7 linked regions of the Sus scrofa genome follow. The main gene of each other region encodes a partner of the protein of the gene in region 5 in a complex. Links are inferred from orthologs where the notes say so. Each region holds a gene or a part of one and is shown on either strand. Other genes may lie near its edges. The genes, in order: INTS7, INTS2, INTS4, INTS9, INTS1, INTS6 and INTS12.

Evidence for each region.
Region 1: the proteins of INTS1 (region 5) and INTS7 are in contact, whole or in part, in a cryo-EM structure (PDB 8RC4), measured with the Homo sapiens proteins. The link is inferred for Sus scrofa from reciprocal best matches to the Homo sapiens genes INTS1 and INTS7. Residues at the interface, in NP_001073922.2 of Homo sapiens: Leu1378, Gln1381, Gln1382, Gly1385, Gln1386, Ala1389, His1429, Phe1430, Leu1431, Cys1433, Pro1434, Arg1437, Gln1438, Cys1440, Gln1441, Pro1476, Ala1479, Gln1480, Met1483, Leu1484, Gln1487, Arg1552, Pro1554, His1555, Leu1556, Glu1557, Glu1558, Pro1613, Ser1614, Gly1616; in NP_056249.1 of Homo sapiens: His150, Asp151, Leu187, Ala188, Thr189, Pro190, Val191, Lys194, Thr223, Ser224, Tyr225, Pro226, Ser227, Thr228, Asn262, Asp263, Pro264, Arg265, Lys266, Pro303, Tyr304, Gln349, Glu350, Cys352, Tyr353, His354, Asn355, Arg357, Ala360, Gln384.
Region 2: the proteins of INTS1 (region 5) and INTS2 are in contact, whole or in part, in a cryo-EM structure (PDB 8RC4), measured with the Homo sapiens proteins. The link is inferred for Sus scrofa from reciprocal best matches to the Homo sapiens genes INTS1 and INTS2. Residues at the interface, in NP_001073922.2 of Homo sapiens: Gly561, Ile562, Ala563, Trp564, Asp565, Lys566, Gly567, Ser982, His1055, Met1056, Thr1058, Pro1060, Glu1095, Arg1096, Thr1098, Ile1099, His1102, Leu1107, Arg1225, Ser1250, Phe1251, Gly1252, Ile1253, Tyr1285, His1288, Glu1291, Val1292, Gln1293, Glu1295, Arg1296; in NP_065799.2 of Homo sapiens: Pro40, Leu54, Lys69, Leu72, Arg73, Leu75, Ser76, Gly77, Val78, Glu79, Val81, Asn82, Val85, Gly125, Thr127, Leu128, Glu131, His132, Glu166, Val172, Tyr173, Glu176, Arg322, Gln325, Gln326, Arg329, Gly400, Lys402, Thr769, Met772.
Region 3: INTS1 (region 5) and INTS4 share a complex: the UniProt entries of both Homo sapiens proteins name them as parts of the integrator complex. The link is inferred for Sus scrofa from reciprocal best matches to the Homo sapiens genes INTS1 and INTS4.
Region 4: INTS1 (region 5) and INTS9 share a complex: the UniProt entries of both Homo sapiens proteins name them as parts of the integrator complex. The link is inferred for Sus scrofa from reciprocal best matches to the Homo sapiens genes INTS1 and INTS9.
Region 6: INTS1 (region 5) and INTS6 share a complex: the UniProt entries of both Homo sapiens proteins name them as parts of the integrator complex. The link is inferred for Sus scrofa from reciprocal best matches to the Homo sapiens genes INTS1 and INTS6.
Region 7: INTS1 (region 5) and INTS12 share a complex: the UniProt entries of both Homo sapiens proteins name them as parts of the integrator complex. The link is inferred for Sus scrofa from reciprocal best matches to the Homo sapiens genes INTS1 and INTS12.

The regions. Positions count from the first base shown.
Region 1 is NC_010451.4:131,331,030-131,334,529, reverse strand, and holds part of INTS7 (integrator complex subunit 7), read right to left. Parts: intron 3,047-3,500; coding exon 2,840-3,046; intron 1-2,839. UniProt on the Homo sapiens protein: Component of the integrator complex, a multiprotein complex that terminates RNA polymerase II (Pol II) transcription in the promoter-proximal region of genes.
Region 2 is NC_010454.4:36,433,180-36,437,192, reverse strand, and holds the start of INTS2 (integrator complex subunit 2), read right to left. Parts: upstream 2,801-4,013; 5' UTR 2,714-2,800; coding exon 2,695-2,713; intron 1,396-2,694; coding exon 1,089-1,395; intron 294-1,088; coding exon 155-293; intron 1-154. UniProt on the Homo sapiens protein: Component of the integrator complex, a multiprotein complex that terminates RNA polymerase II (Pol II) transcription in the promoter-proximal region of genes.
Region 3 is NC_010451.4:12,429,471-12,433,595, forward strand, and holds the start of INTS4 (integrator complex subunit 4), read right to left. Parts: upstream 2,801-4,125; 5' UTR 2,657-2,800; coding exon 2,603-2,656; intron 1-2,602. UniProt on the Homo sapiens protein: Component of the integrator complex, a multiprotein complex that terminates RNA polymerase II (Pol II) transcription in the promoter-proximal region of genes.
Region 4 is NC_010456.5:12,689,641-12,693,571, forward strand, and holds the start of INTS9 (integrator complex subunit 9), read right to left. Parts: upstream 2,801-3,931; 5' UTR 2,496-2,800; coding exon 2,487-2,495; intron 55-2,486; exon of another isoform or gene 1-54. UniProt on the Homo sapiens protein: Component of the integrator complex, a multiprotein complex that terminates RNA polymerase II (Pol II) transcription in the promoter-proximal region of genes.
Region 5 is NC_010445.4:992,085-995,584, forward strand, and holds part of INTS1 (integrator complex subunit 1), read right to left. Parts: intron 3,110-3,500; coding exon 3,018-3,109; intron 2,861-3,017; coding exon 2,800-2,860; intron 1,787-2,799; coding exon 1,589-1,786; intron 1,322-1,588; coding exon 1,192-1,321; intron 1,036-1,191; coding exon 856-1,035; intron 710-855; coding exon 560-709; intron 206-559; coding exon 26-205; intron 1-25. UniProt on the Homo sapiens protein: Component of the integrator complex, a multiprotein complex that terminates RNA polymerase II (Pol II) transcription in the promoter-proximal region of genes.
Region 6 is NC_010453.5:16,462,276-16,465,510, reverse strand, and holds part of INTS6 (integrator complex subunit 6), read right to left. Parts: intron 2,154-3,235; coding exon 2,060-2,153; intron 495-2,059; coding exon 401-494; 3' UTR 1-400. UniProt on the Homo sapiens protein: Component of the integrator complex, a multiprotein complex that terminates RNA polymerase II (Pol II) transcription in the promoter-proximal region of genes.
Region 7 is NC_010450.4:116,030,483-116,034,663, reverse strand, and holds the start of INTS12 (integrator complex subunit 12), read right to left. Parts: upstream 2,801-4,181; 5' UTR 2,662-2,800; intron 1-2,661. Other genes in the region: GSTCD (glutathione S-transferase C-terminal domain-containing protein), read left to right, coding at 2,833-3,034. UniProt on the Homo sapiens protein: Component of the integrator complex, a multiprotein complex that terminates RNA polymerase II (Pol II) transcription in the promoter-proximal region of genes.

The sequences.
Region 1 (3,500 bases), on a different chromosome or scaffold from region 5:
CGCGGCTCGGATCCCGCGTTGCTGTGGCTCTGGCGTAGGCCGGTGGCTGCAGCTCCGATTGGACCCTTAGCCTGGGAACCTCCATATGAAGTGGGGGCGGCCCAAGAAATAGCAACAACAACAACAACAACAACAAAAGACAAAAAAAATTAAAAAAAAAAAGACTATGCCAGATCCTTTAACCCACTAAGTGAGGCCAGGGATTGGTTCATGAGTGAACCCGAATCCTCACGGATACTAGTCAGGCTTTTAACCCACTGAGCCACAATGGAAACTCCAAAGGCAATCTATTTTTGAGAAGCTAATTTAGGTCCCTAACGAGCTGACTTTATACTAATCAAAAAGGAGATTATTCTGGGTAGATCTCGCTTCATCAGTTGAGTTCTTTAAAAGAGGGCCTTGAAGGTAAGAGATTCCCCTGCTGGCCTTAAAGTTTCCTCAGGTCTTACAGCTGTGAGGAACTGAATCCTGCCAACAACTGCATGAGTTCAAAAGAGGACTCTTGAGTCCAGGCTTCACACAAAACTGGCTCTGAACAACACCTTGACAGTAACTTCGTGACAACATGAGCAGAGGCCCCAGCGAAGTCACACCTGGGCCCTTGGAAACCGTAAAATAGTAAATGGGTGTTGTTTTAAGCCACTAAATTTATAGTAATTTTTTACATAGCCCAGAAAGCTAATATGAACGCTTTTTATAATTTATATTCCTAAGAAGCAAGATAACACCAGCATTAATCACTGTATGGGGAAATTCAGACACCCAACACTGCTATAGAGTCCCTCTAAGCATGGAATCTTTAACTTCTGTTTGGCTTGGCTGAAGTAGGTAAAAATACAGTCCTCACAGCTGAGTCTCGGGTCAGCTCATTCAGGTGTCAAGGAGTGAGAGGGTGAGTCATGCTCACACCATCTCGATTAAAAAGGGGAAAGTCACCATCAGGTCCTCACTTGTCAGAGAGATTTTTTAAAAATCTTGCGGAAATCCCGAGAGTGCGGTATACTCAGAACTGAGAGAGGTTCCAAACAACAGTAAGGATCAGACTGCCTCCCCCCCCGGATTCTTCTCAAGCACATCGTCATCTCTGGACCTCTTTTTTGACTCCTCAAAGCAGGGTTTGGCACATAGCCAGTGCTCACAGTCTGCTGAATAAAGCAACTCCGTTTTAAGAGGTGATCTGAGGCCCAAGAACCTGCCTTAGGTCACATGGCGCGAACGGCTGAACGGAGACGGACACAAGGGCCTTCTGACAGCCCACTGCGGTCCTCCTACATCAGAATCCAGCCCTTACCTACTGCCAAGCCTCCTTAAATACTGAGAGCACACAAACCATTAAATGACCATTAAATGTGCAATGGAGTTTTTCTTAATATTAATTGCATCTGCCTCACTGTTCTGTGAATCTCTCTCTCAGTTCTTACCACTTACTGCACCACTTACTGTTAAACCATTAACAATTTTTTGTTCCACATAAATTAGAAAATAGAATAATTCTACTGATTGGCGCCAACAACTATTCTTTGACTTTCTGAGCTATTTATTAGCTTGAAATAGGCAACAACAAACTCTTACGAGTTTTGATAATCATGACGAGAGAATCATGTAGTTAAAGTTACCCCTTAAAACGGTGAGGAGCCATTCCTACATTCCTGTTTTTTGTTTTGTCTTTTTCCTTTTTAGGGCTGCACCTATGGCACATGGAGGTTCCCAATTCCCAGGCCAGGGGTCGAATCGGAGCTCCAGCTGCTGGTCTACGGCACAGCCACAGCAACTCGGGATCTGAGCTGCATCTGTGACCTACACCACAGCGCATGGCAACACCGGATCCTTAACCCACTGAGCAAGGCCAGGGATCAAACCTGCGTCCGGATGGATACTAGTCGGGTTTGTAACCCACTGAGCCACACTGGGAATGCCCTATATTTCTGTTCCAAAACAGCCATCAATCAATCCCAGCTCCCTCCAAAATCATTCTTCAAAAGATGTGTATCCACAGCCATCTGAACAGTCTGTCTCTTCGGTGACGTCTGTTTATTCTCTGTTCTACTCTGAAGCGTTTCTTTCTGGATACATTACATTTATCTAATGTAAAAAGACAGTTTACATTATGTGATAAGTGAAAAAGGTAGATACACAGGTACCCAAAGTTTTACGGCCCTATCTAAATATATACAATTTTTAAGGTTGTGTGACAATGCTTTAAACGTGTTCAATGGTGATTAAACTCTTTACTCTTAAGGGGAAAAAGTCCTCACATTAACAGAGAAAAGGCTCATTTTAGGGAACAGGCTCTTATTTAGGATTATAACTAGTTTCAAGAAAATGTTAAGGATCTGATCTCTTTTTCTTGGTAGAAAAAAATGGAAAATACAGCTGGTTGTTCATTTGGAGTAGAGGGTATCACCAAGGGGTAAAAAGTGATCACTTGCTTTTTATTTACAAAGCAAGAAGCTCTAGTTTCTTAGTGAGTAGCCGCCAGTGATGGGAAGGGCTGGGTCTGGCGGCAGCAGCGACCCAGGCTGCGGTCTTCCCAACAGCAGTCTGGAAAGGGAGCATCCTACCTCCGCTAATTCTTTCTGCCTGGACTGTGCAATTCCCCTCCACGTGTCTATCGGACACTTGATAAAAAACCAAATGATAAATGTGCATCAACCCATGAACGTTAAAAAGTCGGGCAGGGGTTCATGACCTACCGTCACGTCCTACGTCTTATTTTAATACTTCCAAATACATACATATTAGCAGGGTTTTCAAGGTGAAAACGGGACAGCCCCCGGAAGCAAAGGGACACCATCCTCACACAAGCCATCACCGCCCAAGGAAAATGAGGAAGACTCACTGTTAAGGAAGCAATCCCTTTGTGGTAGAATTTCAGGGACTCAGCAATGCAAGAAAGTGCTGAACTAGCGTCGTCCTCCTGCAGGCCGGTGAGGCACTGCTCCGCGTGTGAGAACTCCTTCAGACTGTTGAGCCAGAAGTGGAGATGCTCCGAGGCGACCTGCGTCAGCAGGCTCTGGTACAGCTCTCCGGCCATGTCGTGACTACCCTGAAAGAAAGCCGGGAGGGCCCAGGATGAGGGTCTTACCCTTGAACCAGCTGCGGCAGCACCTCCAACAGAAGCCCAAACCTTGGATACGTTTTAGCGATCGTGCCTCCCGCTCTGTAACTCCGAGGGACTCGGTCTCCTATTTCTCCCGAGAAACCATGCCGAGCTGCTTTGCTGTAACACACGCCTGAAGTTCTTTAGCCACACAACAGCTCCGGAGAGAAGATAAACGCAATGAGCTACAACCCGAGGCGAGCCATGTAGTTCCAAACAGGCCCTTCCGCACGAGCTGTTCAGTGGTGTGGGGAGAACCCCAGCCACTTTTCCTCCAGTGGTGACCGGGGGAGGCGAGGGAGGGGGCTGAGTGCCCTGTGAGGCCGGGGCGATGGATGCCCAGGGTCCTGCTGCAGCTGGAGGCGTGGCACAGCTGAGGATGCGGGCGCAGCGGCGGCCT
Region 2 (4,013 bases), on a different chromosome or scaffold from region 5:
ACTTTTTGAGCCTCTGAAAGGATAACACTTACATAAAAAACAGAAATATTGTACAAGAGGATGCAACCTGGCTGCCTTCTGGCCTGTTTCTTCTACCTTCTAAGTGTAGAGATCAAATCATGTATATTTTGAGCTGTGGTTAAAATAAATGTACCTTGTTCATAATTGCCAACAATTCACTAAGCACAAGACGCAAGCGACGAGGCGAATCACTGTGTTCAAACTCTAAAGTCAGTCCATGCTGAAGCTGTGATACCAGGATGCTCTCTCCACTGCCTCCTCCAAGTTTATGCCTGATAAAGTACAAACATGCACAACATTTATAAAAACACTGGCACAGAAATGACAGGGTGAAAATTACCTCATAAAAATAATCTAGGAGTTCCCGCTGTGGCACAATGGGTTAAGAATCTGACTGCAGCAGCTCAGGTCACCGAGCATGGGTTTGATCTTTGGCCCAGTGCAGTGGGTTACAAGATCTGGCACTGCTGCAGCCATGGAGAAGGCTGAAGTTGCAGCTTGGTTTCAAGCAGCTGCAGCTTGGTATCAATCCCTGGCCCAGGAACTTCTATATTCCTCGAGTATGGCCATAAAAAATAATCACCATCATCTACAAAATAATGCATGAATTCTTTTCATATACTTCATAAATGGATTACTTCTAAAATCCTATTCAGGTTGTTCATCTATTTCAGGAATTTACAACCTATGTAAAGACTCCATCACAACTGACAGTTAATATCCACTTTCATTAACTACAGTGGCTCACTACTGGCTTCACAACAGGCAAAGAAGGACAAAATATATGCCCAGAATTTGGGGGAATCAATGTAAGCTTAAAAAAGCCTCCCAAGAGATTTCAGGAAATCGTTCTACTCCAGAGGAACTTATCCCACCCTTTTCCCACTGAAAGTAACTGGCCTAAGGACTTACCCTGAATACAAAGTGCACACAAAGTTCTCAGCACAACATTTTATAAGATGGAATTCAAAAGATCATAGAATTTTAATTACAAATAAAAATACTGGATTCTTTCTGTTTTAGCAAATCCAAGTAAATACCAAGCCACAGATTAGATATTACATTACCTAAGCTGCTGTTCTTTGCTGGCGTCCTGTTCTAAAGCATGAAAGTCCACAGACAACAATGCAACAATGGAATTGACAGCTTCTACTCCAGAAAGAAGACGAAGGATGAGTTTTTTATCCTGAGCCCAGCTTTGGCTCTGGTCAGCAGGAGCACAAAGTGCCATCCGCACCAAGCAGGGCAGGAGAAGTCTTAATTCTGGATCGCTTAAAGATGCCAAACGAACAACATCCACCTTCTGCATTGCTTCGAAAGCAAAAGGACTGACAAACTGAAGGCTTGTACACTCGGTCATTATCACAGTTGATCCTAGTGGTTAAAAAAAAAAAAAAGAAGAAGAAGATGAAGAAAAAGAAAAGAAAGAGAAAGTAGGGGTATAACTCCACATGCATGAATGCCTCTCTTTTTAACAACTCTGAAAAATGTGGTCTCTTGTTAATAGGACTAGTCGCTGGCAATATTCCTGGCACAATTAAAGGCTCCCTATGTTTCTATTGCCATCTGGAAAATGAGAAAGAAAACAGAGTATATTAACGTCTCTTCCAGCCTTGGGGATCTTCTGTTGTAATACTCCCATTTTGCAAAGAAGGAATATGAAACCCCGAGGGACTAAGTAACTGGCTCTGAGTAGTATTACTAGTCAGTGGCAAAATCTAACGCTGAACTCTCATCTACTAAAACCCAGTCCAATATTTTCTCCACTATACCAGTCATGAGTGCCACAACGTAGAGTAAAAGATCAGCATAGTAAAGAACGCTCCTCTTTCGTTTCACATGCCTACCCAACATCCGTAAAGCACTGTTAGACTTCTCTTTCCCACCCTCCACGAGTCGGTGGAACCACTATTAAATAGCCTCACTAGCCAGAAGCAATGCCAGATTCAACGCTCTGGAGACAAAAACAGTATGCCATACCTCCTGTGTTCCTAAGTTTAAAAAAACAAAAACAAAAACAAAACAGCTGTGGAGGTGCAATTAGCTGTGGGAGAAAGCTGAGTCCCACTTGGGCACTTTTCTGTCTTCAAGAGTAATCAGAAACAAAACAGCAAGTAGCAGGTAGCCAAAGCCATCCCCTCTGAGACCCACAAAACTGCAGAATCGTAAATAACAAAGAGTCGTGGGCAGAAATGCTGTTTTGCTTTTAATTTTAGCAAGAGGAGCTGGCCTTTTAACAGAGGGGCGGGCTGATAGAGCAGAGGCGTCAAGACCTGTGTGCTCATAGGTCTCGCCCTGGGCGTAAAGAGAACCAACCAGTTCCTCTGGCTGAGAAAAGTCGGGCCGGTGGCGGACACGGACCTCGGAACGCTCTAAGAGCCTGAGAAGCGGAAGCTTCATACCTTAAGATCTACCCTCCAACCTCCCGGGACCCCACCCGGATTCCACGCTCTAGAGGCGGGACGCGGTAGAAATCGAGAGCGCGGTCCGAAGTTGGGCCTAGGCGATAATCCGGATTCCCCAACCCTAGCTGTGCCCTGAGTCGACCTGGACACCAAAAACCCAGACGCCAGAACCCATTGGTCCGGCGGTGCGATAGGGGCTGGATGCGGACCCTGCACAAAGGCAGAGCCCGGACTGAAGGGAGAGGAAAGCAGAGCAGACCGTTTCAACCTGCACACAGCACCTTCATTCATCCCCAGCGTCTGGCTCCGGTCGGCCACCGTACTGGACTGAGAGGAAGAGTGGCTGGCTGTGAAAGGAAACCCGCAGACGTCGCTCAGAGGCAACGGCGCGCGTGCGCGGCCCCACCCCTTCCTCCCCCTTGGTTTGCTCTGCCAAGTTCACTCGAGAAGATTTAGCAGGTTGCTAGCTGTCTTCAGTCTCCTTTCCAGACCCTACCAGCTGACTCTTTTTAAGGTAAATCATTAAGTCCTTACGAAGTGCAGTTTCATCGTCACAGGACTACCGTGGCGTTCAAATGAATACGTACATTAGTATGGAAACGGAATGTTAAAGTTGTCCCCACTGTTCATTGATCAGAACACGAAAGGAATCAGACTGCATACATTTCTTTTCCATCTCTGCCTGTGCCCTTCCAGCACCAAAGTTCTGGAATCCTGGGTTTGTAGAAGAATTTAAAAAGTCATCAAGGAATTCTCGTTTTGGCTCAGTGGTTAACGAATCCGACTAGGAACCATGAAGACGTGGGTTCGATCCCTGGCCTCGCTTAGTGGGTCTTAAGGATCCGGCGTTTCCGTGAGCTGTAGTGTAGGTCGCAGACGCGGCTCAGATCCCGCGTTGCTGTGGCTCTGGCGTAGGCCGGTGGCTACAGCTTCAATTCGACCCCAACCTGGGAACCTCCATGTGCCATGGGTGCAGCCCTGAAACACACACACACACACCAAAAAAGAATATATGTATATATGTATGTATACATGTATGTATATATGTATGTACAGCATTTTTTTCCTTAGTGGTACATGAAATAATGTTTTACAATTACTGGTGTCTTATATTTGTTTGATGAAATGTGTTATATAGTTCCTATACTCTAAGTCCTGGATGAAGTGAACATTCTCACCCCTGAATGGCTTTGATTTATTCTTTTCTACCTTAATTTTCAATCAGGTTGGGAAAGAAAGAAAAGGAGACTGGCACAACACAGTAAATCAACTATACTTTAATAAAATAATAAATTTTAAAAATTTAAAAAGAAAAGGAGAAGTTCTCTTGTGCAGCAAAGTTAAGGATTTGGCGTTGTCACTGCAGCGGCTTGGGTGGCTGCTGTGTCTCAGGTTCCATCCCTAACCATCACATGCTGCAGACTTAGCCAGGAAACAAAAAAAAAAAAGAGAAAGAAAGAAAAAACAAACAAACAAAAAAAAACCAGTCTCAGGCATCATAGGTGCTTTTACATAAGTTATTGCCCAGTAAATGACTTTCTAGAAATTAGAAGACTTAGGGATTTAAAGGAGCACCCATGTTCCTTG
Region 3 (4,125 bases), on a different chromosome or scaffold from region 5:
AACACAGAGACTGCAAATTTAACTTTGCCCCATCTGATGGAAATAGTTTTCCCTATAGCAAATAATGTATTTAGGTGACAGACCTAGCCTAAACAAAAAGCAGTGCTATGAATCAGGAAAAAAGCCACCTGGAGACAAAGCGATGGTTCTCAGTTTTATCATCTGTAAAATAGGAATGATGACCTACTACCAGTCTTTCTCAGTCAGGGATCCTCGTGTGAACCACAGAAAACATACAATTAGCTAAGTGACTATTTTCTCAATTCTCCCAAGGATGATGCATAATTAGAACCAATCTAGATATATTTGATGCATGGAATGAGTGCCCAAAAGTCCACGTGAAAGGGAACCTGTCACTCCAGGGATTATGTAAGGCCCTGGTGGGTAGATATAAAAAAGATCACAACGTAAGAGAAATGTTATAGGAGTTCTCTTGTGGTGCAGCAGCACGGGTTGCAGCTGCAGCTGGGATTCAATCCCTGGCCCAGGAACTCCCATAGGCCTCAGGTGCAGCCAGAAAAAGAGAGAGAAACAACAGATACAAAAGTTTGGAGAGGTGCAAACACTAGCCATGTTGGAGGAGGGGTGAGTAGTCTTGGTAAGTGGGAACAACAGAATGTTTGGAAGAAAGGAAGTGACACTGCACAATAAAGTGAATGCACTTAATGCCACTGAACTGTACAATTAAAAATGGTTAAAACGGTAAATTTTGGTATGTATATTTTGCCACAATTTTTTTAAGAGCGCCCAAGGAAACAGAGTTAGGAAATCCTAAAAGGCAAGCCATAGAAGGAGCTCTGAAGTCAAAAAGCTTTCCTGAATCCTGACTCATTCTAAAAGTTCAGGAAAACTAATTTCACATAAAAGTGGAGTCAACCGGAGTTTCCCTTGTGGTGCAGTAGAACCGCATCAGACTAGGAACCATGAGGTTGTGGGTTTGATCCCTGGCCTCGCTCAGTGGGTTAAGGATCTGGCATTGCCATGAGCTGTGGTGTAGGTCAAAGATTCGGCTCGGAGCCTGTGTGGCTGTGGCTGTAGCTCTGATTCGACACCTAGCCTGGGAACCTCCATATGTCGCAGGTGTGGCCCTAAAAAACAAGCAAAAAAAAGAGTCAACAAAAACGTGTCAGGTTTTTTAAGAAAAAACAAGAATAAGAAGTTAGTCAATTCCCTACACACAATGGGAATATGCCACAAAGTGTCCACAAAACAAAAAAAGGCAGTGATACAGCTGGAAGGAACATTGTCCAATAATAAAGGCTAGGGAGTTTCTATAAAGAGTAGTTGCAAAAGAGAGAGGCAGACTTGATTTGTTCATGCAATCACCTCTTGGCACTATAACCACAGACATACTGTTCCCTATCTCCCACCAGCCTGTGAGCTCCTAAAGAACATGGAACTTAATGTGCACTGAACTTTGTAGCTCAGCACCTTTCCATTTACCTAATACACAGTAACAACTTTTTTTTTTTTTTTTTTTTTTTTTTTTTAGGGCTGCACCTGCAGCACATGGAGGTTCCCAGGCTAGGGGTCAAACCAGAGCTGCAGGCCTATGCACCAATGCAGGATCCTAGCAACATCTGCGACCTACACCACAGCTCATGGCAACGCGGGATCCTTACTTAACCCACTGGGCGAGGTCAGGGATGGAACCTGCGTCTCATGGATGCTAGTTGGGTTCGTTTCTGCCGAGCCACAACGGGAACTCTCACAATAACAACTCTTTTACTCAATAAACTTTTGCTAAAGGAAAAAATTAAATGCTTAAGGATCAGTGTCTTGCTGCATGGTCTAAATCTTGCTACTCTACAAGCTTATGCCTCTAAGGATGCATCAATTGGGGGCTCGTCAGAAATTCAGATTATTGCCTCACCTCTCCCGCCCGATTTACTTAGTGAGTAGAATCTACAGTTTAACAAGACCCCCAGGTGATTTGTATACACAAAGCCTGAGAAGCACAACATGAGGTATGACTTGATATCGAACTCTACTTTAGGAATATCAATGAGGAAATACACGGAGAATCACTGGCTGCTGACAGGGGCTTGGCCCACCAGTCCGTGAACAACTCCAAACGAAAAAGGTATTGCCCTCCTTCCTTGATGAACTGTTCCATCAACAGAAAGTTCTATCCCTATAAAGCCTGTGACCCTCGCCTGATCTGAGTCTCGAGGACTTTAAACTCCTCTTCCAATCTCTTGGAGTTTCGCATACAGCTACCTTGTCCTTAGGCGCGCTTTTTTTTTTTTTTTGTAACGGGAGTCGGGAGAGAATCTGCCACTAATTGGCTGTGTCCACGCACCCCTCCAGAAGCCTCAAAGTCCTCATTTGTAAAATGAAGATGCTGATGTACTACGAATAAAATTAGATTACGAATAATATATTTTTGTAAACTGTAAATTTTCTGTAGTGTCAGACTGCACATGTTAATAATGACAAGCAGCAGAGGCGAACGAACACGCCCACTAAAGTGTAGTCCAGTCTATCAAAGCAGTCCGCACTCAGCCCAGCTTTGTGGCGCTCGTTCTGGCAAAGTGCCTGGGGCGCGGATAATCTTCCTCTACCCCAAATGGGTTCCGGGACTTTTCCCTCCAGGGCTTACCTGAACCACCTTAGTGAATTCCTCGTACACCCGCTTCTTCAGGTGCGCCGCCATGGCTGCCCACGGACCCTCTCAGCTTCCGTACAGACGAGGAGGCGGGGCGGAGGAATTCGGGAAAACCGGCCCAGACCGGAGGAACCAGCCACGATCCCACAAGGCAGTGGGGTTCCCGGAAAGAGAGGCCGCTTCCTGCTGCTCTACTGCTCTGCCTTGGCCAGGCTGTATTCGGCCGCCTACGCCGCGTTCGCCGAGGAAGGAGAGCGAGATAGCAGCGTGGGGGCGGGGCTTCTGCCTGGAGGAGCCAATGGGAGCGTCCTGGGGCATGCGGTCGGTCTCGGCGTCGGAGAGACTGGCGGGACCGCCGCGGAGGGAGGGAGACGGGGGAGGAAGTACTACAGGGTGAAAGGGCAGAGGCGGAGCTATCTTGAGGTAGAGGCAAAACCTGGAGCTGCTTTAAGCTGTTGCCTCTGGAATTGAGGGAGCGAGGGCAAGCTGACCTTCCCATCAGCCTTTGCTGTTGACACTGTCGGCTGTCTGTGTGTCCCTTGCACTCCTATTGGTCAAGCTGTTACTCGAAAACTGGGTTCGCCCCTTGGTGGGTGTGGAGCCAGAAGATACAGCCGAGCCGAAGAGGGGAAGAAGGAAGGATTTATTACTTGGAGCAAATAAGAATGCCAGGGATCTTTACCAAAGTGGTGTCTCTTTGAATAGCAAAACTGAGGAAGTCTTAAGCTAAGGAGCGTGCACATTCATACTCATGAAGGCACTTGAGCAGAGGAGAATTCAGCACAGAATTGGGGCGAAGGTCTACAGAGTTCAAGCTTTAGTTGACTTAAGAGGGTCAACATCAATATTCTGTCCTCCACCTGGGTGGGGCACTAACTACAAAACTCAAAAGATTTGTGTCAGGTTGTTAGGTATGTCCCATGAAGAGGAACTAGGACTTTTTTATGACTGAACTGTCTTGACTGCCCTTCCTTTGTTCCTGTGAGGCTGGAGATAGATGGGGTCCAGGCTGAGCAACTGGAATCTGTCCCCTGCGGACAAATACTTCAAGATAAGAATTATGATAAGAGTAGCTCCCATTGTGGCTCAGCAGGTTAAGGACTCACCCTTTTCTCTGTGAGGATGCAGGTTCAATCCCAGACCTCACTCAGTGGGTTAAGGATCCAGAATTACTTCAAGCTGCGGCTTAGGTGCAGGTGCAGTTCAGATCCAGTGTTGCTGTGGCTGTGACATAGAGCACAGCTGCAGTTCCCATTAGACCCTTAGCCTGGGAACTTCCATATGCCACAGGCGCAGCTGTAAAAAGAAATATATATATATATATGGCAGGAGCAAGGACTCCTTCTTGGATAAAAGATAAAGAGACCTCATGGAGTTCCCTGGTGGCCTAGTGGTTAAGGATCCTCTGTTGTCACTGCTATGGCTTGGGTTCAGTCCCTGTCCTGGAAACTCCCACATGCCATGGGTGTGGCCAAATAAAAACAAAACACAAGAGACCATATATTTCTCATTCTTGA
Region 4 (3,931 bases), on a different chromosome or scaffold from region 5:
ATGGAACACACTTAAAGTCCCAGAGGCAAAAGAGAGCAGGCGGACTTCAAGGAACTGAAAGACATACAATACAAACGGAACAAGGAGGTCAAGAGAGGAGAGCTAGACATTAGCCTGGAGAAGTCAGCAGGGCCAGAATCTACAGGATCAAGCAAGTCAAGTCAAGAATTTTAAGGAGTTCCCTTGTGGCTCAGCAGGTTAAGGATCCAGCATTGACAATGCTGTGGCTTGGGTCTGATCCCTGGCCTAGGAACTTCTGTATGCCGCAAGTGCGGCCAAAAAACCCCTCCCAAACCAAAAATAAAAAATAAAAACCCCAAAACCACAAAACTCTAAAACAGAACAACAAAAAAATAATTTTAAGACTATCCTAAGGGCAAAGGAAGCTACCAAAGGGTTTTAAAGGAACACTGCAATTTAAAACAACTTCTGGGCATGGAGTAGGGAATGGATTTGAGGGTGGGAGACCAGTTAGAAGGTTTTGTTGAATTTCAAGTGTCAAGTGAAAAGAGCCCCTACAAAGGCTGTATTGGTGGTACTGGAGAGAAACAGACCAGTTTAAGAACTGCAGAATCACCAAGATATGGTCATAGATTGTACGTGGGAAGGGTGTTTGGGGAAGTCATAATCTCCAAAACAAGAATGTACTCTATAAAAAATATTTCTGTGTTTCATGATAGAAATACAAAACATGGTTTATCACATATTCAGGAAGCAGTACACAAAGTTAAAAATTTTTAGGCCCTAGGAAAATTTATTCCAACTCTATGGGAGGCATGATACAAAAAAGAAGCCTGCTTACTGAGTGTCAGTGTTCTTGAAACACTTTGCTGTGTCAATAGATATTCTCACAGAATCATCAACTACCTTATTCCTCTAAGGCATTTTATGATTCTTGAAAGAAAAATAGTTTCTCTTTCCCCCTTTTTTATCTTCTTTAAATGAGGTAAGCAGGAGGATTTCATAAGCAAACCAAAGCATATGTAAACTAAACCCTAACTCTCTGATACCCTCAGCAAATGAGCTATTATGGAAAAGAACTGTTTTCCATTTTCCTGCCTCTGCACCGAGCATACATACCAAATGTGATTTATCCTTTATCAAGAAAACATGGTCTTTATTTCAAGCACTCAGGTGCAAAGCTCTTTTGCTTCTAAAGCTGAACCCTCTTCAAGGAAAGCCCTAGCCTACTCACCTTGCTTAACTGTTAAAGAGTCTCCTTTCCATAGAGCTGTCTCCCACTCCCCCAACCCCCATCATCCTCTAAATCCCTAAACACTGAACATGCTTCCATTTACCATGAAAACAGTGAAATATCATTTATTACTTTTGTATCTTCTTCATTGCACACTTCTTTTGGATATGGGTGGTGACTTTCAATTTGGCATTTTTACATGTCTTGAAAACTGACCCAGAAGCAAATTGATATCCTCAAGGTTTACTGATCTGTGTCCTTCTCCTTACCTAAACAGCTTTAGTGTTGAATCTACTTCTATTTCTCTGACTCCTCAGAAAACAGCTGAAACTCTGAAGAGCACAGGCCCTTAGCGTGTGTGTGCAGGCACCAGCCTGGGCTGCACACTTTGGAAAAGCATGCTCAAACAATTAAGAAAATGCACATTTTATTTTTCTACTAAAATTACAGGAAAGTAAAGATTTACAACACTTGGCTGCAGGAATGCGAATTTTAAGAGGTTGAGAAACAGCATCTCACACCTGCTTTTCTACTAATACCATACAGTTGGAATAAACTAGTTAAAGTAGCTAAATCTGTGTGCACACAGAGTAACGTGGCTCAAAATAAAGGCCTGAGCAGCCTCCCTACAAGCCAAGTGTTTTGAGTTTTGTGATGCAGAGAATTTTCCAGGTATCCTGGCAGGCTCCATCTAATCTTGGCTCATACAGTCCCTACAGCCCTAGACTGAATGCCTTGACACTTAAACCATATTATACAGGGTTTAAAACTTAAATCTTCCACGATCATACCATACCATGATCTCGTCCTTCTCTGAATATCAAAGACAGTTAGGAGTCTATAACAGAAAACTTAAGTGATTACTCTGCCCAATATTTTCTAAACTCTGCTCATATGTAACCAAAGCCTTTTCAAAAACTGTAAGAAACGCTAATCAAACGCCAATCGCGTGGAAAGAAGTTAACCAATTATAAAACTCACATGGCAGCTGTGAAATCAGTCAAACCTAGTTCATAAAGCCCAACCTCAGTTCGTGTGTGAAGTAAGGTGACAGAGTCAATCTCTTATCTAACCACAGGAGCCGCCAAGGGATAAATAAGATCTGGGGGTCGGGGGTGGGAGGTGGGATTCAAACTCAACCACAAGGAGCAGCTTTCCTTGGTTCACCCCACTTTCTAAGTCTCTAACTGCCACCCCTCTTCCGCGACGGTTCCCACCACAAGTTGGAAACGACGAAGTCCAAAAGGATATGGCATCACCTTTGCCCTCTGACCTAGGAGCAGAGACTCACCAATTTCATATTGGACTTTAGGTTGTTCAATATCAGTCACTGGACTCCTCAGAACCAGAAAGCCTCTTCCGGTTCAATCTCCGCCACCCGCCAGCCTCGAGCATCGCGGGACATGCAGTCTTTCTTCCCTACGCCCCCTTCCGGATGCATCATGGGAAATGTAGTCCTGTCTTCTTGCATCATGGGAACTGTGGTCATCTTTCCTTTTTCTCTCTTTCCTCCTTCCTTCGGCTCAAATTCTTCCCCGCCGCCAAATCATTCTCCCTCTCCATCCCAGCATGATATCATGTCCCCTGTCTGGGCCCAGAGCCCACGGTATTCTGGGATGTGTAGTCCCTACGACTCTGGCGCCCCTTTCCCCTCCTCCCTGTGGGAAGGCGAATGGCGCAGGTCTTGCCGGGAGCTGTAGTCCCCCAGGGCCTCCGGGCGCCGAGTCCCGCGCTTTTACTCGAGGGAGTAAGAAACTACAACTCCCAGGGCCGCCCGGCGGCAGCAGGTGGGAGCGGGGCTGTTGATATCAATATGGCGGTTGTCAGCCAGACAAAGACAGTCAGTCTGATGTGATTGAGACAAGGGAGGTTTTCAGGGGGAGACTGGGAGATAGGGGCCTCCCCTCCCCCTTCTCCTCTTCCTGCGCCGGCCTCAACCCCTCCCCAGTCCCCTCCCGACGGGCGCCCCACGCGGAAGACACCCCTCCCCCTCCCGCTTTCCCCTCCTCCCTACCTCAGCCCTTCGTACTGGGACGTTGGGGAGGGGGCTGTGCCGGGCGGAGAGAACTCAGCAAGGATTCTGAGGTGAGTCGAGCGATTTGGAAGGCGGGCTCCCTCAAGTCTCTTTCTTCACTTCTTTCTCTTCACTTTTTTTCTTTTTTCTTTTTGGAGGGGTTTGGGAGAGAAAGTGAGTGGGCCGGGGGTGGGTCTCTTAGGCGGCCCGACTGAGAGGAGGGAGGAAGCGTGGGGCTTCCGAGGGGGGTGACCCGGACGCAGGGTCTGGGGTGGGGCAGTTTGTGGGGGGCGAAAATGGAAAGGCGTCGGCTGCTCCCTAACTCTTTCCTCCTGGTTACCTCCTTGGTGGGCGGAAGGTTTGAATCCTGGAGGTGGGGTCTCTTGTTTGGAGTTTGGGAAACTGTGAGGGGAATTTGAGGTGTGGGTTTGTTTGGGGTGCAGAACTGTATTTGAAACTGGGTGACGTGTACTTGGGTGATGTGTTAGCCTTGAATAAATGTCTCTAGAGAGGAAGTTCGGGAGACGGAGTCGGAGCTTTTAGCTGGGCCTGGGCGGAGAAGCGTGCGCGAGGTGCGGGTCCTGGACCTCTGGGCTGGCGCCGCGGCGCGGGGTGGCCGTGGGGAGCAAGTCGTTTGTGTCCCATCGCCCGCTCACACTCCTTCTCCCATCCTCCCAGGGACACATCCCAACCCCAAACTCAGGGTAGGAGCACTGTAGACG
Region 5 (3,500 bases):
CCGCCCCGCCACCCGGCGCCCCCACCTGCTGCAGAGCCAGGGCGGTGCTGGTCTTGACGCTGTCGAACAGAGGCAGCCGGGGCAGGTCCCGCAGCAGCCACTGGTAGCCCTGCAGCGTGTCCGAGTCGCCCGAGTCCTCCTCCAGCGGGGGGTCCTTGTCCTCCCCGTCCCGCAGGCTGCCCTCTGAGAGCACCAAGGACAGGCCCTGCGAGCAGACAGGCGCTGGGCCAGGCCCTCAGCCAGGGGCCCGCCTCCTCCCGCATGGCCCGGGGAGGGCCCGCCCGGCGTTGCCACGAGCCCAGAGCAGAAGCAGCCCAAGCCAGCTTCCCTGCAGAACTGTCACCAGCACCTCGGAGATGCGGCAGGACAGCTCCCAAGTCACCCTCAGGGAGTCCCCGTCACCGCCCAGGGAAGGGCCCACAGGGGAAAGGACTCTGGTTCCTGTGGGTTCTACTGGGTCCCCTCCATGACTGAAGATCCGCCAGAGTAACAGGGAGGAAGCCTCTCCAACACAACAGAGAGGACCACGGCGGGGGCAGCCAGCCAGGCCCGGGCTCACCTTCATGGCCAGCACCCTGGAGGCCACCTGGGAGGAGCCGAGGCGCCGCAGGAAGTAGTCCAGCACCTCACACGTGGTCTGCTCGTCGGCCCTGGGGCCCAGCAGCAGGTCCTGCAGGCGGCCCAGCAGCTGCCGCTGCTTCTGCTGCCTCTGCAGGAACAGGCGACCTCAGGCGGGCCTCAGGGCTGGGGCGGGGGGAAGGGGCATCGACCTGCCCTCCGCAGGGACAGACGACCTGAGGCCGGCTGCCGGGCCCGCGGGAGTGGGGTGGGGTGGGGGGCGGGGGAGGCACCGACCTGCCGCTTCTTGGCCTTCTGCTCCTTGCTCTCGCCCTCCTCCTCCTCCTCCGCAGAGGCGGGCTCGTCGGCAGCATCGTGCAGCAGGAACTCGCACAGGCACTGCACGGGCAGCACGTCCAGGGAGCCCTCGCTGGACTGCACCAGGTCGGCCAGCCAGGGCATGGACTGCGACGAGGCCTGCACAGGGCGGCGTCGCACGGCTCTCTCCGGTTCGACCTGCCACGGCCCCTCCCGACCCACCTGCCTGCCACCTGTGGGGCCCTCCCGTGGCAGCCCTGTGTCCCACGTGCGCACCCCGCCAGCGCCCCTCTGCCCCAGCCGCTGCGGACTCGCCTGCCTCTGGATGATGTTGAGAAGGAAGTCCGGGTTGCGGCTCCGGCACAGCAGGTGCCCGAGACGGAGGGACTGGTTGAGGCTTTTCACCTGATCCAGGATGTGGGGGGGAGGCCTCCGGGGGGGCCCTCTGAAAGTCCCAGACGACACGAGTGTCTGAGTCACAAGGGCAGTACCCCCAGGGATGGCAGTGGGGGAGGGAGGGTGGAGGGCGGGGGGACCCCTGTGAGGACTGCAGCCCTCCCCCTAGGCCGGCCCAAGGCTCTCAGTGTCACCTGAGCCCTGGCGCAGGGAGAACCAGGACAGCGGTGGCCTTGGCCTGGGGCTGCTGCTCCACACCGCCCCCTCCGTGCCCAGCCCAGGCCCGGCGCGCAGCTCCGCGCAGTGCAGTGCGTACTTGGGGTCCAGGCTGGTGAGCTGCGACAGGAGGAGGCTGCTGCTCTCGGTGATGGTCTGCTTGGTGGACGCGGCCGCCAGGTGCCCCTCGAAGGCCAGGATCTCCTGCTTCTCCCGCTGGGAGATCTGCAGCTCCCGACTCATCATCTCCGCCCGGGTCTCCTCGTCCGTCAGGGTGCACGGCGGGTACGAGTAATTGCTGGGGCCGAGCAGGGAGCGTCTCAGCAGACAGCACCCGAGTGGAGGCATCAGAGCTCGCGCGCTGGCCCACGCCCGGCTTGAGCCGTCAGGCCACAGGAGGGACCCTGGGGTCGTGGGCCATGGGGTCGAGGCCAGACCTCTGGGAAGCAGCTGGGCATCCCGCAGAGCCCGCACCTGGCCATCAGGAGCCTGGACCCAGAACGGTATGCCCAGCGTGCCCTCCTGGGGATGTTGCCAGCAAGCAGGTGGTCCAGGGCACACTGGGAGCCTCATCCAGTCCACACTGGCAACTCCTGTCCAGGGGACATTGGGAGCTCCCCACCCAGGGCACGCTGGGTGCTCGCAGACCGACTCGAGGCTTTCTGGGACACGAGCGGCCAGAAAGCTCCCACATGTTCCGAAAGCCACCCAGCTTCCTGGGATGGCCACGAGGCTGCCCGCAGATGCGCGAGGCGGTGGCCGTCTGCAGCCTCTGGCCGCAGGCACCCAGTCCTCCCACGCTGAAGCCGATTGCACGTGTGTGGTCACATGCCGGTTCACATTACAACTCCTCGGGCTCTGCCCTTGGCCACCGCACTGTGGGGCGACCCGCGTTGTCCCTCTGAGAAGCGCAGACGGCCCGCACCCGCCCCGTCCTGGCATCTGGCACGGCTGTGCACACAGGCCCCCACGACTGCTGTCTGCGCTCCTGAGGAGCAGGTGCGGCAGGCCTGGCGCCTGGCGCCCACCCCGGCCAGAGGCGGTCCCTGCTGCTGGGCCCAGGCCGCGTTCCCACCCGCCTGGCCGTGTCGCCATCCCGTCACCCCGCCTCTGGCTCCGGGACCCTCTGCTCTAGCCCTCCTACGTCACACCGTTGTCAGCCCGACCGTCCCCACGCCCGTGGTGGCCTGAGCGTGGCGGAGGATGGCCTGGGCCCCGCAGCCCCCGGCGCCGCCTCATCCCCTCCCTGCCCCGCGCGGCGAGGGGGCGGCACAGCAGGAGGGAGAGGCCGCGGCCGCGGCGGCCACTCACTTGGTCATCACCATCTCCATGAGCATCTTCAGCGTCGGGTACTCCTCCCAGGCGGCCAGGCCTAGGGCGCAAGGGGACAGCAGGTGGCAGCGGGGAGCCCCGGCCCGAGGCCCGTGCCCTGCCAGCTCACCACCCAGTCCCAGCCCGGCGCTGCTCCGGTCCTCCCAGCCCGCTGCCCCTAAGGCGGCAAGGGGACCGCGCCGGCCACAGGGGCTCACCGATGTTCTCCGGGTTGAAGGCAGCGACCACCAGCAGGAGGGGCCAGGCCTTCCAGTAGAGAGTGGAGATGGCCAGGTTCGGAGGCTGGTACCTGAAACGCGAGGGGTCGAGCGCTCGGCCTCGGCGCACAAGCCCACGATGGGACGGGTCAGGGCCAGGGCAGCAACGGCTCAGATCCGCGTGTGGGCCTCAGTCACCCCCCTCTGCGGCCTGTGCCCCCAGGAGGGCACGGCGACCACCACACTCACTCCGCGGCCGGGCGCCCAGCCCTGCGCTCTGGGCATGTGCCCCCCGCTGAGCCCGCCCCCGCCTGTGAGCCAGCAACAGGGCAAGGTAACACGTGTCCAGTGGGGTTCGTCATCGTCGCCAGAAAGCCCAACACCGCGGTACCTGCCGCACGGGGCTGTGCCAACGCGCAGAAACCACACGCCAGGCAACCCTGGCTACCACTGGAGGCCGTTCAGAGGATGAGAGAGAAAGGG
Region 6 (3,235 bases), on a different chromosome or scaffold from region 5:
GTATGTGCTTTTTCCCCAAAAATTACAAAGTAACTTCTTTTTTATTTTTTTGGCAAAGTTCAACCTTAACAGAGGTGACAGTTTTAAAGGTTGGTTTAAGAAAATAGAACCTGAGGGAAATTGACACGCAAGAGTCAATGACAAGCAAGAGATTTGGAGGAGTATTTTTAGTTTGTTAAATAAAAATGTTTTTTAGAGTGATACTTTTCACATTACAAAAATAAACCAAAATGAAGAAAAGGTCACTGTAAAATGATGGAAAAAGGATCTGTAGACTTGCTCTTAGTATTTCAAAAAGCCAACAATGCATGTCAAAAAATGAATGCAAGATCACAACAGTCTTGTATTTACTTTGTATTTGGAGAAGGTAGTGAAATAAGTGGCCACATTCTGTTTTCTTTTAATTGCTGTTAATGTGGTTGATCTGATTGGCTCTTCGATGAATTTCATCCAAGAAGTTCTCCAGTTGTTCTATTAGCATTCGTTTTTTAAACCTGTAAAAAAATGAAGTAACAAAGCTCTCAGTTTCTTTTTAAACAAATAGTTATATGTCAGTATAATTTTCTTTAAAGAGAGAAACTACCTTGGGAAGATTTTTCAAAGTGATATACAAAATCTTTTGGAAGATTAGCAAATTATGTTATCAGTACAGTATTATAAGTTTGTACCTAAAACAAACAGTCTAGCCCTAGTTATAATGGGAAAGAGATTATTCCTTTCACAAGCAAAAAGAAAAAGGGGGAGAAACCCTAATAAATACAAGAGTTATAAATATAAATAAATATTCCAGTGAAATCTGGGCTCCCAAAAGCAGTTTCTCATGCTCTTTGAAAGCTGAATGTTAAAAAAGGAATGTGAACAAAATATGAATACATTCCCCCATAAAATGGAAGAAATGAAAGTTGGGCTCTCGCATTTAAACCATGGCGTTCTATTATTACAACTTAACTAGCAAATCAAGGACAATGAGAGGTCTCTAGTAGAGGATACAGTAAAGAGTTAAAGTAAAGTTCAAGTGGAAATTTAAAAATTTTAGTAATGAATATAGTAGACTGAAACTGCTTTTGTCTACATTAAGTATTACTACTTCTGATGCTTTTCAGAATGCCCAAAACACTGCCCCATCTATATTTACTTCCTCTCTACTTGCAAACGAATATGACTAACCACCATAATACCACACAACTCTCTAAAAGGTGGCAAGGTGGCAGACATAGAATTCAGGCACCAGGAATACGGCTAAATCTGTGATGAAGTACGAGCTGACAGAATGTTACATAAAGAGCAGACTAGGTCAAATACTCAAAATAAATAATACGAAAAGTTATGGCCTTATCTTGAAAATTCAAAGTAACCTATGTTCTAGTCATTCATGGGGGGGAAAATAATGGCTTTATCTAAAAAGACTACATGTAGCATGGAAGAAACTGGGTTACTTGTTAAAGGGTGGGAATTTGGGAAGGTCAGATGAGATAAGCTCTAAGTTTTCTTACTAAAAATTCTAGAAGTCTTTTTATTTTCTAAACTCATACAACTATGCTTTCCAGTGAACTGCACTTCAGAGTTACCATTTATAATCTTGATCCACATTCCTTGTACTAAAAGCGCATAACCCTGGGCTACTGAAGCGATCAGAATAAGGCCCATTTGTCCAGCTCTGGTCCCCTTAATTACATGTTTTCCCACGTACAAGTGAACTGCATTCAGATACTGCCTTTCAAGGTTATTTTTCATCACTAATTAATATTAACTGTAGTTTAAATATACAAAGGAGAAAAATTAAAGACTATAAAATATAAAGACACCAAAAAGCCACAGAGTACAATTAAGAAGAATTATGCAAGTATCTATATACTGTGTAGGGAGAAAGGGTCCATGATTTCTGGAGAATTTGTCTGTGGCTATTTTTTCAATAAACTGAAAAGAAGAGAGAAGTGCTTATATACACATGGTGTGTCATATACATTCATAACAAGTATAAAATAGACACTGTTAAAATATCAACTATATAAACTGGGGGCTCATTTCACCATATCAGAGTGTACAACAGATTATTTACCTTGATGCTTCTTTAATGACATTTTGTAAAAATATTAGTCTTGTTTGTAAACTGCCTTGCACATGCTTCAGTAAAGTGAAGATTCTTTCATATTCTTAAAACAAGAGAAGCAAACGGAAAAATTAAGTGGCTTTTCCTTTGCACTCTAATTCAGTATTTTTCTATTGCAATTTATTAGATCAAAATATACTAAAACAAAACCAAAAACAGTCTACATAAAATTTCACTGCTCATTAGAGATTTTACAATACATATATTTTATCACATGTCAACAAAGATAAAATAATTTGTTAAATACTGCTTTTTTGGTAACAGTTCTTGTTAAGGTATTAAGCATAAAGTTTAGAAGGATGAATAAATAGCTTTCTGGTAGTGCCACTAAAAATAAGAAGTGGCCTTTACAAAAATCTATCCTTAAAGCTTAAATTCTAAATTACAGCCATCCTGCAGTGGGGAAGGGGGATAAAATAAAGGAAAAAAACATTACAAAACAAAACAGGTTAAGAGTGCTATCTCAGTTCAGGTTTTCCCTTAAAACTCTGCCAAGGACTATGAGCTCCTGAATGGCAAGTACTGAGTCTTATGCACTTAGGGACCACGCCTGGGTCACTAGACCATCAGAGCAGGTGATCTGTCAGCATCTTCTGAATGAAGTCAACAATACTGAAATTTTACCTCATCGAGTTCTTTTGTACTGAGATAATAGCGTTCGTAATTTTAGCTTTTGGCCTTAAACATATCCCTGATCACTATTATAGTTTAAATCTTAAAAGTTAAGATGGTGTGTAGGTTCTCCGCCAGGAATGTCACAGCTATGAAGTCATTTAAAATTGACTAAATCTTTTTGGGTTTGCTGTTACATTAAAATTCCAGTTGCTGGTTGGAAGAATACACGAGACTATGGCTTCCCGTCATGGGAGGCCCCGTGTGTAACTTATCCATGTGCTCCTCCTCTGCTCTCAGCCCCTCCTCCTTCCCATGCCTAACACAGTACTTTGGATACAGCAGATATTCAGTACTTGTAAGCTGAATAAAGAATCAAATCTTACATAGCTCGTATGTTGTTCAAGACTGATCTAAGGAGTTCCCACTGTGGCACAGTGGGCTAAGGATCTGGCATTGCCTCAGCTGCAGCTCAGATTCAGTCCCTGGCCCAGGGACTTCAACATGCCACAA
Region 7 (4,181 bases), on a different chromosome or scaffold from region 5:
CCCACTCAGATCTCTCTTAAGCTCAAACCCCATATTTCTAATTGCTTAGTAGACATGTCTACCTAATTGTCCCAATGGTTTCTCAAATTCAATAAAGACTGAAATTGAGATTATGAATATCTCCTACCCCAAAGTTCCTTGTTCCGCACTTTCTTTCAATAAATGACATACTCTCCGTTAATCAGGCCTGAGGCCTACATTTTTGCCTGAGTCCTCCCCAATTCCTATATTTCAACATTTCTCACATTTGTTGCTATTTTCCATTTCCACTGCTACTACTCAGATTCAGGTCTTTATCAGCTTTTTGCACTGTAGCAATAATCTAGTGATTGTCTTGGACTTCAATACTGTTGCCATATTAATGTTCCTGTTAACACATCTCCCTATCTCCCTTCCTCCCTCCCTTCCTTCTTCTTCCTCCCTCCCTGCTTCCTTTCTTCCTCAAAAATTAAGACTTCCCATTCCCTTTAAAATAAAGCCTAACTTCTTGGCCTAGCATTTAAAAAGATTCAGTAGGAGATCCCATTCTGGCTCAGTGGAAACTAATCTGACTAGTAACCATGAGGTTGTAGGATTGATCCCTGGCCTCGCTCAGCAGGTTAAGGATCCGGTGTTGCTGTGAGCTGTGGTGTAGGTTGCAGACTCAGTTTGGATCCTGTGTGGCTATGGCTGTGGCATAATGTGGCAGCTGTAACTTCGATTCGACCCCAAGCCTGGGATCCTCCATATGCCTCAGGTGTGCACCCCCCCAAAAAAAAGACTCAATAACTGGCACAAAAACTAATTCTTCATCTCCAGATCTCCCATAGACCAGAATCATTAGCTGGACTTGCTACTTCTCAATTTTTTTTCTGTCTGGAGAGCTTTTTTACCCATTTTCATATTTCCATATCCTATCAAGACCCATGAGGGTACTGATGAGGACCCTACTCACCCAATAATACTAATAATCTTGCTGAATTCCCGTCGTGGCGCAGTGGAAACGAATTTGAACTGGAACCATGAGGTTGCGGGTTCAATCCCTGACCTCGCTCAGTGGGTTAAGGATCATGCGTTGCTGTGAGCTGTGGTATAGGTCGCAGACGCAGCTTGGATCTGGCGTTGCTGTGGCTGTGGTGGAGGCCTGCAGCTACAGCTCCGACTGGACCCCTAGTCTGGGAACCTCCATAAGCTGCTGGTGCGGACCTAAAAGGACAAAAGACAAAAATAAATAAATAAATAAATAAATAAATAATAATAATAATAATCTTGCCCTCCCCTGGGAAATCTTGGAGTGCATTCTCAAGGTACTGGAACTTTCTACCTTGAACCACAGTCTTTTTTTTTCTGTTTTCTTTTTTTTGCACATTTGTTATATTCTCTATAAATCTCTGACTACTTTAAGGGGAAAGGCTATCTTTTTACCATCACGTTTGTATTTTGTAAAGTACCAAAAAATAATGGCCAAAGAATTATTAGAGATCAAAGGATAATAGTTTTTTTCCTTCTACACAATTCTAATCATTTCCAAAGTCCCTCTGCAATAAGCAACAAAAAAGAAACTCAAAGCTATTACCACCCTCCAGACTCCTCCCACCCCCAATCCCACCTCAAGCCCTCAAATATCAAAAAAGCAAAAACAATACAAAGCAGAAAACACCTTTTTCATGACATGGGATTTGTACAATGTTCCTATCTGCATTACTCTCTACCCAATCCTCCATGTGATTTAAATTCATTAACCCCACTAGACTGTAAACTCCATGCAAGAAGGGAATTCTTTTATTCAGAACTGTTACATACCTAGTGCTTGGAATTTAACATATTCTCAAAAATATTTGTTGAGTGAATGCACTAGGGTTTTTTTAAATGTCACTTTCTAGGGCTTCTGTGATTTCTCCAACCTAAATTGGGTATTCATATATAAATATATGCTTTCCTCTAGATCCCATTATCTATCTTACAAGCTAACATTAAAAGAAGTCCAAAGTTGGAGTTTCACGTGCACGAGATGAAGGAAGCTGAACCTATTCAGGCAGAGTGCAATATTGGGGTTGCCACCTCAATAACGGCTCTAGAAAGCTTTGCCCTTTGCAAACTCATGCAACTCATCCTAATAAATACCCTTTTAAAGATACTGCCCTTTTTATTCCTCCTGGATCTTGGCCCTGGATTACACTGATGACCTTAGGCACACATCCGGAAACGACAACAGGCGGAAAGAACCTAATTCCAAACCAACCAACCGACAGAAAATCTGAAAAACGACACTCAGAAAAGGAATATCAATCTTCTGATCAAAGGCAAGACCCACCGAAGGCCTAACATCGGGAAGGGTCTTGACAAGTGAGCCCAATGAAGATGAGAGGAGGCAGAGGGAGCTGCACAGAGAAGTCGCCAAAACCTTCCGAGGAAGGTCCGAGACAGGGTTCCAAGGTCCCAATCCCTGGGGCTGTAACCTCGGTCCGCTGACCCCAGCCTGCAAAACCTTCGGGGGAAGCACGACCCCAACTGTAAGGGGAGAATGGTCAGACTGGGCATTCGACCGCCTGCAAATTATGAGTTTCCTCACAAGAGGCGAGGAAACTAAGACCGCACAGTACTACCGTCCCACTTCACCCCTCGCGGAGGTCTCAAGCCTCCCAGAGGCGGCTGGGAACCGAGGGGCTCGTCGCAACTCACCGCTCCGCCCCGCTGCTCCGTCCGTTCCCGGTGGCCTGACGAACAGGTCCCAGCACTAGCCCGCCGGGAGAGCGGAAAAACAAAAGTTCCCGCAGCAGGGTCGACTGGGGAACGTTTTCACTGTGCGACGGGAGGAAGTGACGTAACCACCTTCTTCCGGTGCGCCGGATTATGAATGACGGCAGGTGCTGCTGTTTCCCCGGCGCTGCTTCTGTTGTTTTTTTCCCTGCCGCGTGGAGCTGCGAGCGGTCTGCAGGCGAAGACTTCCTAAAGCGACCTCGGGAAACCCGGCTCGGGCGGGGCGGGAATGCGCTGGCGGCCAGTGTTGACACGTTCACGCACCCTCCCTGCCTGGCCGCGCCTCTGCGACCAGGTAAGGAGGGCGCTCGCGCCGCCGGCTCCTCAGTCCTCAAGACCCTGCAAAGACTCCTCTTTCATCCAGGGACCGGCAGGGTTGACGATGCGAAGAAGGGCGGGAAGAGTGGAGGGGTCCGGGCCCCTTCGCAATTTTTCCAGGGCCAGTCCCCATGGCTTCATTTACTGAAGGGGAAAGGAGCAGCTTCCAGTTGCAGCAGTCTGTTCGGTCGTTCGCCATTTGCTGCTAAGTGTAGTTAAGACCTCTTGGGTCACTCTTTTAACTTTTATCTTTTTTTCTACTGAGTTTTCTATTCCAGCCCTTCCTCATTGGAGAAAGCAGTAGTATGTGAATACTACCTAACAGTTGCTCCAAAGAACCCCCTACATTTTGGGCGATTTGTTTCTGCACTACCATCAAAGTAGCGTTTCACTTTGGTTTAAACTCCTATAGAAAGTTTGGGTTTAACTTGCATGAAAATTGCTTTTACTTCAGAAACGTTTACTAATACACGTACTTCCCACACCAATTCTACTTGGTTTGGGATTAGGTGACTGTTTGTTTGTTTCGGCTTTTTAGGGACACACCCTTGGCATATGGTAATTCCCAGACTAGGGGTCCAATGGAAGCTACAGCTGCCGACCTACACCACAGCCCTAGCAATGGGATCCTTAACCCACTGAGGCCAGGGATCAGACTAGTGTCCTCATGCACACTAGTCGGATTCGTTACTGCTGAGCCACATCGGGAACTCCTTTTCCCCTTATTCCCCCCCTTTTTTTTTTTTTTTTTTTTTTTTTTTTGCTTTTTAGGGCCACAGTCTAGGCATATGGAAGTTCCTAGGCTAGGGGTGGAATCTGAGCTATAGCCACCAGCCTAATCCACAACAACTCAGGATCCGAGCAAAGTCTGTGACCTACACCACCACTCAGGGCAAGGTGGGATCTGCGACCCACTGATTGAATCCATATCCTATGGATACTAGTCAGATTCATTTACACTGCGCGGCAATGGGAACTCCGCCGATACTCTTAAGGTCATGATCTCTTAATGCCGGGAGCCCATTCCTTGTCATAAGTTCTTGCCAACATTTAATAATAGATCTTGTGCTAAATTATTTAAGAAAGGTAGAGTATGTTTACATTTTTCTAAGCTTATCTAGGAA